Linked DNA regions of Coturnix japonica. The protein of the gene in region 1 interacts with the protein of each later gene in a pairwise test. Links are inferred from orthologs where the notes say so. Each region holds a gene or a part of one and is shown in the gene's direction. Other genes may lie near its edges.

Region 1 (4,133 bases):
TAATTATGACCTGGAATTAAAATGATAGTTTTTTTGTTTTTCTTCTTTCTTTTTCACCTATAAGAAGACAGCCAGTTCCAGAAGATTTCAAAGCACTGTTATTGAATGGCATCACACTTTCTGCTTTATGATCACTGAAAGGTGTGAAGAGGCAGAAAAGAAAACCCTGTGCTAATTTTCAGACGCTTTGTTCTGCTGTTCCTTTCAGGGCTGCACAGCAAGTGTTGGAGCACTGCTGCTACCTACAGGTCTGCTCTGTGCAGCGCTCAAAGCCAACACTAATGCAATGCGTGAAGATTTTGTGCTTGGGAAGAGACCTACACCCCGACACTACAGCCTGTTGGCTTTTGTGAAATGTGAACTGGCAATGTGGAGCCTTCCTGCCTTGTGGCTAAAGCATGTAAGAAAAACCAAACCTGCATAGACCCGATTAAACAGAAGGCAGATCCATGCTGCATGACAGTTCAGTTTCTACTTTCATTTCTTTCTGTAAACAAAGAGGAAATGTTGCACTCCCAGATGTAATGTAAGAGGAAGCATCTGCACCGAGAGGGGAACCCTCACCCACCACAGCCACCAATGCACAGAATATGCAGGGGGACTGGAAAATACCTTCTGGTATGAAGGCTGAAATGTTAAGATAACCTGTGATATAATTAGAACTTGCTAAAATTTAGTTGTGACTTGTCACTGTTTGGAATTTATGTCATCTCTTTTTTGTCTTTTTAATTCTCTTACTCTCTTAGTAACACAGGCAAACAAGATAACCTGAAGTGGACTCGGCAGAAGCATTACTGAAAACAAAGTAAGCAGCTTTCAGAATAGGAGACCAAAACAAATATAAGCAAACCATGGAGATGTCAAAAGCTCCTATTTATCTGAAAGTCATAGACTTCAGGATCAAATTACCAGAGAGAATATTAGATCATAGGCTTTAAGAGATGGAGGAAGGGACAAATGCAGGCAGAGGTAGTAAGGGAAGGAAAAGTTAATTGATGAAGTTGTCTATAGCTGAATGCTTCGTTGACAGTATGAATGGTCAGGCAAAGGAGAAGAAAATCCTGCAGCCAGGGAAAGCACGATTAGAAACTGCAAACTTCCTAAGTTTCCTATTGCTGTTTCTAAGAGATAACCAGCGGGATCTCTCTAAAATTCACGCGGAGAAGAATGACAAGTCGCCGTAGAAACCAGTTATCGCCAAACACGCAGCTACCAGCGTGAAACAGCTCAGGAAACTGAGGGCTGAACGGTCGCAGCGCTGTAGTACAGCCCGCACGGAGCCGCCCCGCTCCGGCCCTCCCCGAAACGATGCGGCCGCTGAGGGGCCGGCACCGCCCGGAGGCACCGCCCGCACTTACCAGCGCCACACGGAGGCGGCCGCGGGCACGAGGTGTCACCGGGTGCGACGATGACCGAGGGCCGGGAGCCGGCCGCTCATCTGGACGAGGAGCTGCGGGCGCTGGGGTAAGCGGCGGCGGCGCGGGGGTCCGCACCGAAATGGCGTCCATGTGCACCCCGACCCGCGACCGGGGGGCGGCTGAGGGGCGCGGGGATCCCCGCGCAAAATGGCGGCCGCGGGGCAGCCGGCCTTAGTTCTGGCTTCGTTCGGAACGGCCGGGGGTAAACGGACGGCGGCGTGTTATAACGAGCGCCCCTCAGGGCTCAGCCCCGGGACGGAAGGCTGAGGATGCTGGCACGCCGCAGGTGTGAAGTATAAACTATTAGCAAAACAGGCAGGTGCTTCAAACATAACCAGGGGGCTGTGGCTCCTCCAAGATGTGGCAGATTCCCCTCCATCAGGGAGACCTTTCTTGTGCTGTTCTTCCCATGTGAGACCAGGGAAGGGAATTTTTTGGGGGGCATTGGCCACCTGCTCATCCAGCATCCAAGGCAGCACCTCCAGAGCTGGACCGCCTTCTCCAGGCGTGCTGGGCCCTGGTCAGCCAGCAGCACAGCCCGGGGGGCAATAAGCTGTTCCCTGGCTTCAGCTGCAGGCACCCTGGGAAGGTGCCACCCTCACCCCAAAACAAAGCCCAGCAGCAAAAAGAAGCCGCAGGTTGCTGTGGGTCCAGCTCCCTTCCCACCACTGGCCAGGTGACTTGGCTCGCCCACTTGCCAGCTCCAGATAGTTTTGCTTTCCACACCCAGAAGGCTAGCAGAAGTTTTTCCACAGACAGCATTGTCACAGAGGGGAAGAAGTAGAGGGTGGGGAGCAGCACTGCACAACCAGGAAGGGAAGGGTCTGTGGTAGCAAAGATCTTCACTTAGTAAAGATCTTCACTTAGTGAAGAGCTTGGGCTGCAAAGAGTTGGAATTGCCATCTCCATGCAGCTTATCGTTTTCCATATTTGAAAGCACCTGTTAATGAAGTGGCTGTTGTTGAAGCATCTAACAATGAGGTAAAGTCACTTTTGTAATGGTAGCCAGTGTGCGTTATTTGCATTCCCTGCATAGCTGTAAGATTTCTCTCATGAAAAAATAAAAAATTCAGGGGAAAAAAAAGGTTGAGTTGCAACTGCTATGAAAAATGTGGTTCCAAATTGCTAAACTTCTGTTCATTTAGACTAGATGGCTTGAGATTATCTAAACCAGTGAGCTATGCTCATCGATTGCTTTGCTTGTTTCAATGTTGATCCTAATTGATGGGCCCATGGGATTGCAGCTCAGTGTGGTACAAGGAAGAAAAGACAACTCAGTGAGAAAGCTACCCAGATCCATTTTTAAGCTGAAGCTTATTTATTTTATTTCTGCTTTAGAGGAAAATATACACTTTTCATCCTTCTACAAAGTACCAGCCATCCCCTTAATACAATGCACTGAACTAAATGAACTAAAACTGAACAAGCAATTCCAAGCAAGGACTCCCTACAGATGACTAGATAAAACCTTTTTTTTCTAGCGTGAAGTTGAATTTTATTTATTTACTTATTTATTTTTTAAAGAGGAAAAAATCTCACAAACCTAACACGGTCTAAAAGATATCAATGGAAGTACTTTTTCACTCCCCAGACATTAACATTCAATATTTTCCCCCCTTAACGTTAGTCTCTGGTGCTATGACAGTGATGGGCTCCCTTATATCCGACATAGTATCTAGCACAACCGAGTCTTAGTTCCAGTGAGGAATATATATCATTGCCATAGTAAAGACCAACAGAGAAAGGACTCGTTCAAATGGGGAGCAGCTTTGATGCTTGTCTGTCTATTGGGGCAAACTGAAGTGGGTTATTTTAGACCTTCTGTTTCGCTGTGCAGAATTCAAAGAAGCTGGAGGAGGTTTGAAGAAGTGTGATAAGGGAAGCGTTTTAAGGGGAAAGATATGGGTGACAGAATAATCTCAGTTTACCAGATCAGCTGGTTATCAGGACGGAAAGTTGACGGCCATGCAGATAGGTTTTGTACTATATACTCATCTGACACTCTGCTGGGCTTGGAGGATCTGGTATTTGCTGGGCTTGTCTAGATTGAATTACATTGTAATTACTGCTTAGTTGAGAGCAAGGCAGGAAGGAGAATGATAAAGTCAATATACTCAAATCCTCATCTTATTTTGTCCTCATTAGGAGTATACCATCCATCACTAATCAATGGAAAAAAATTAACAATCCAAGTTATCTTTAGGAGTAATCCTAGTCACCGAGAGATCTAGGCATATCTACAGCTGGTTTATCAAGTTGTATCACTGCTTTCAAGAGCCTCAGTATTTATTAACGTGAACTTTTGGGGCCTTTCCATGAAAACAAAAGATTTCAAGTGTGATGGAGTTGGCGTTTTTCTTCCCTGTTTTAAACTGTTCATTCGCTCATGCTGTCTGAGGGAAGATGGTACCTTGTTTATTGGGAGCCCTCTGCACTGTTTGAGAGGTTTAGTGGTCAGATAGTCAAACTCAAAGGGGAAATCCAGAATACTGTCAGCATCGTTGTCAAGGTGTTCATAGGTGGAACCACCACCGAAAGGAAGATCAAAATCAAAACACTTGTTAAAAAACACATTACCTCATTAATTACTTCTCTAAGTGTACGGACTCTAAAAGGGAGCTTTGAAGCTTTTCAAGAGATATGTATATTGGTTTAAAGGAGAAAGAAACTGACATGATTCTCCTTATGAGGTCTGCATGGATGACTGGAGTCAGC
Region 2 (4,243 bases), on another chromosome or scaffold:
ACGAATAAAGTATTTTGTTCTCAAGACTATCGCGGCTGTCAGTGTGCTCCTGCTCTGACTGTGTCTCATGGACTTGAGTGGCACCTCCAGAGACGCATCAGCTGTAAGTTGGCACCTGAACTTGTCTTCTGCCAGCTCTATAATGAAGGGGAGAATCTTAAGTTGCACAGAACAAGGAAAGGAAAAAGCAAAGGGCATAACAGTGCTCCAGGTGCTTCACTGCAACGTGTCAGGTTTTTCTCTATTAGCAGCTGCTTCAAGATAAATACAGATGCTGTTTTGGTTCCCTTAATTTCTCCAGCAGCTGAGAGACGGCCACAAGCACCAGCTACCATCAACCAAAGACTTTCTACCTTGATGTGACAGTGTTTAAAAGCAAACAAACAAAGAGAAAAGGCCACGTAGCCATTGCTTCAAAAGTTTATGGGAGTCAGGGGTAATAGCAGTTAATGCAGGAGTACGAGCAGGTGAACCTGCTGCACTGCCAACACAGCATTTGGCACTTTAATCCCTAAAGTTCCGCTTTGTACCCCTGAAGGAATTTTGCATTGGCACATTTTATACTGATCTAATCCTGTAATGTCAACAAGGAGGAGGTTATTGCTCCTCTGTTGTGCACAGAATAGCAAAATCTAACCATGGATGGATTTTCTTCTCTTTGAGTCTCTATTAACCTGGAGCCTGTGTGCCATGATTGCCCCTTTTCCATGCTTTGAAATTGGATTGCTCAGTCTCAGCAAGGAGATGACCTTGTGTCATTAAAGCAAGAGACAAATCTGCGTGCCCCAAGGGCAAAGGATACTGTAGATGAGAGCTGTCTGCTCCACCACACATAGCGTGTACCATATTTAAAGTGCACCCATATGCAGACAGTTAGGGTTAGTGTCATTTGGAGTAAAATAAAGGAGCTTTTTAGCACTAGGTTAACCTCCAGAAGGCAAATATCTGTCAAGTATTCCCCTAAACAACCCATAGGGGTGTAGTGTCCAATTCACCCATCTGTGGGAAGACTCCAAGGGACACCAGATGTAATTGCAGCCATTCTGTCCGAAACCACAGTGTCTATATTAAACGATTTGCAGAATGAGCCACACTTTGTGTACAGGGTCTTTAACAGTTTCTTGTAAGTGAAAACAGGCACTGAATACTTGAGATAGGAAATCCTGGCAGGCTACCGAGCTCACTGAGACAACCTTCAGCAAAGCGCATGCACTTCCAGCTCTTCCCTTCTTGGGGTTTTGTTTTGTTCTGCAACTATGTTACTCTACTGGGAGCAACAAGGGATGGCAGCTCAGCAGCATTCATGGTCATAACTTGGATACTGTTTCTTTCTCTAGTACGTGAGACGCTATGAAACACTGAAGGTTACAAAAGGTTTTGCAACTCTTTAAGGAGTTTTTGCAGCCACCCGCTGTGCTCGCGGCCCGGCCCCGCGCTGCTGGTCGGTGCCGGCGGAGGGCGGTAGCGGCCTGCTCGGTGCCGGCTCCTCCCCGGCCTGTTCCGCAGCGAACGGGGCGGCATGTGGAGGCCGGGGGCGGCCGCTGCTGTGCGTGCGGCACGGCGTGTGGCGGCGGCAGCGCGGCGGAGGAGCGGTGGCCCCGGGGAGGCCTCGAGGGCGGGGGCAGCAGCCGCGGTCCGCAGCCGGGCGGTGAGTGAGTGAGAGCGGGCGGCGGCGGCGGACGGGAGCGGTCTGCGCCCAGGGCGGGAGGGGGCGAGCTGGCGGCGCCGGGCCGGGCGGGGTGCTGCCGGTCCCGGGGCGGGGAAGGCGCGGCGCCGGGCCGGGCGCTTCCTCCAGCCCCTGCGGTCGCCCAGGCACGGGGCCAGCCGAGGCCTCGCCGGGCCCGCCTCTCCGCTAGGCCGGGGCTGCTGGCAGCTTCCATGGCACCGGGTGCAGCCGTCGGGAGTGAGAGCAGCGATGGAGCCGCAGCCTCGTGGCCTGACCCTGAGGGCTGGAGTGGGCCCGTGGGTTTGGGCCCCGAGAGCATCGAAAACGCGGAGGGGTCGCAGTGTCCTTTATGGGCCGTCGGGGTTGCGGTGGCACGGGACGGTGCTGTGCTCCGTGCTGGGATCGCGGCCTGGGAGCGGCCGTGCGTCCGCAGCACCGAACCGAGCAGGGAGGAGCGTTGTTTTCCTCTCCTGAGCACGAAGAGGCGCGGCCGTGTGCCTGTTAAAACGGCATCTGCTTTTCTGCGCGGTCTGATGGCTTTCGGTGCACACGGAGTCGCCGGGTCACCCAGGAAGAAGCGCTGTCCCGGGCTGTACATGGCAGCAGGCCGGCTGTGCCTGATGGACGGCCCGTAACGGTGTGTCCTTCCCCTCAGAGGGGCTGTGCCCGGGTCACTGAAGGATTCCCTGTATAGTCCTTCCTACAGTGGCTCTGTTTGATTTGTGTGACCAATACACAGTTTGTGGTCTTCACGTTATATCTTTTAATTTCCCTTTTTCAATAGCAATTGCAGTATGCTGCGGAGGTGAGGAGCAGTGCTGTGCACTTCATGAATTTAAGAAGTACAGGAACTCTGAATGACAAAAGGTAAATTTCGTACTCAGGATATTCTAGGGATACCTGGGTGCCTGAGTTGTATCAGTGTACAAGCCCTGTCTGATCCTGATGCCCTCAGTTCTCCACACCTGTGGGGTGTTCCTGGGGCAGCCATGACTCAAGTGTCATGCAGTGTGTTTTGGCAGCTGGCTTACAAGAAACCTAAAGAAAAATACACAGAGCATTCTAGTCAGTTGAAAGACACTGAGTCACCTGGTTCATTATAACAGTTGTTTTGCCACACCTATTAGCAGAATACATGGTTTCTCCCAGTTGTCTGCTGCTGGAGATACCCACCTACATGCTCAGTTAAAAATGACTCTGCTATGGGTAGAAGAACGTAGGAGATTTGATTACGTTTGGTTAATTAAAATTATTTAGACTTTGTTCTCACTTCTTTTGCTTGCTTAAAGAGAATAACAGAAGCTGTCTCACAGATGTTGCAAACCTTAATTGTTGGCTACAAGGTGCTTTGAGACTCTCTGAAGGAGGTAATTGTAGAAGGATTAGTTCATACGCACGTTGTAAATGATGTCCTACACCTGGATTGCATTGCTGATCCCAGCTGAGAAATCTAATGCTGCATGTAGACATAGGGTTTGACACTCATGTTTCTAAAGCTGCTTGTGGCTGCATTTGGATCCTTACTGTCAAATGGTGTGTGTGCCTCAACAGGAGGTGCTTGAGTCTATTTGTGGAGCTTCAAATAGTGCTTCTTGCACATCGTTTTCATAAAAAGACTGTATTTTGAAGTCTGTGTCTGTCTTCTTGATACTCAGGGGCCATCATATCTATAAGACTGAGTATGCCATCTTTAGTTAGAGGTCTCTACTACCCAAATATTGAAATTCCACCTCCACATGTAAAGTGCATTGTAACCTCCATTACCACAAGGAAGATGACTGTTTGTGTCCTTAGAGGGAATGCTAACCGTGAAGCAGTGTTGATATTTTCCCTGTGATAAACACAGCAATGATGTACCACCTTCCCTGTTTTCCCTCCCTCCCACCATGTGACTGTGTGTTATTTGTAGCTCCTTAGATGAGACCACCTACGAAAAGCTGGCTGAAGAAACACTGGACTCCTTGGCAGATTTCTTTGAGGACCTCACGGACAAGCCTTTTACCCCAGAAGACTACGATGTCTCTTTAGGGGTATGTTGTAAAGATTGCATTAACCATTCTAATTCTAGTAGATTTTTATTTTTTACTTCAGAGGAGAGTTCTGCATCAGTCACCTTAGTGACAGCTGTTAAAATATCTTTCGTATTTATTTGTTATGGCTTTACTGCTAAAAACCTGCCTTTTGGTAAGAAGTACCTTGTGCTCTCATATAATTTGAGGATTTAAAGAAAGTTTAGCTGGCTGTGCTGGAGCAACAGAGGATGCAACATTGCAGTAGGTGGCTGCAGAAATGAGAAGCGAGTCTGCCACAGTGGGAAGGCTTCAGTCCAGTGGGACACAGGGTATCCCATAGCCTGACAATTGGAGCCTTTAGTAGGTCCCCCACTTAAATTCTTTCGCAGAGGTGACAGGCTGATTAGAAATGCCATTGTGTTTCTTTCAGGAGTTTATCAGTTTTATATAAAATGCCTGAAATGGGCCATATCTTACAGTTTCTATGTGACTTGGAGTAGACTGTGTTTCTCCCTGTACTGGCAGGTGTAACACAGGTCTTCCCTTTAACATGTTTAATCTGTTT

Evidence for each region. The genes of interacting proteins can lie anywhere in the genome.
Region 2: the proteins of DAPP1 (region 1) and FXN interact in binary tests that used the Homo sapiens proteins (3 or more experiments, as listed by UniProt). The link is inferred for Coturnix japonica from reciprocal best matches to the Homo sapiens genes DAPP1 and FXN.

The regions. Positions count from the first base shown.
Region 1 is NC_029519.1:54,061,541-54,065,673, forward strand, and holds the start of DAPP1 (dual adapter for phosphotyrosine and 3-phosphotyrosine and 3-phosphoinositide), read left to right. Parts: upstream 1-1,333; 5' UTR 1,334-1,408; coding exon 1,409-1,464; intron 1,465-1,518; exon of another isoform or gene 1,519-1,687; coding exon of another isoform or gene 1,688-1,704; intron 1,705-4,133. UniProt on the Homo sapiens protein: May act as a B-cell-associated adapter that regulates B-cell antigen receptor (BCR)-signaling downstream of PI3K.
Region 2 is NC_029547.1:31,019,279-31,023,521, forward strand, and holds the start of FXN (frataxin, mitochondrial), read left to right. Parts: upstream 1-1,443; 5' UTR 1,444-1,519; coding exon 1,520-1,648; intron 1,649-2,450; coding exon 2,451-2,533; intron 2,534-3,575; coding exon 3,576-3,696; intron 3,697-4,243.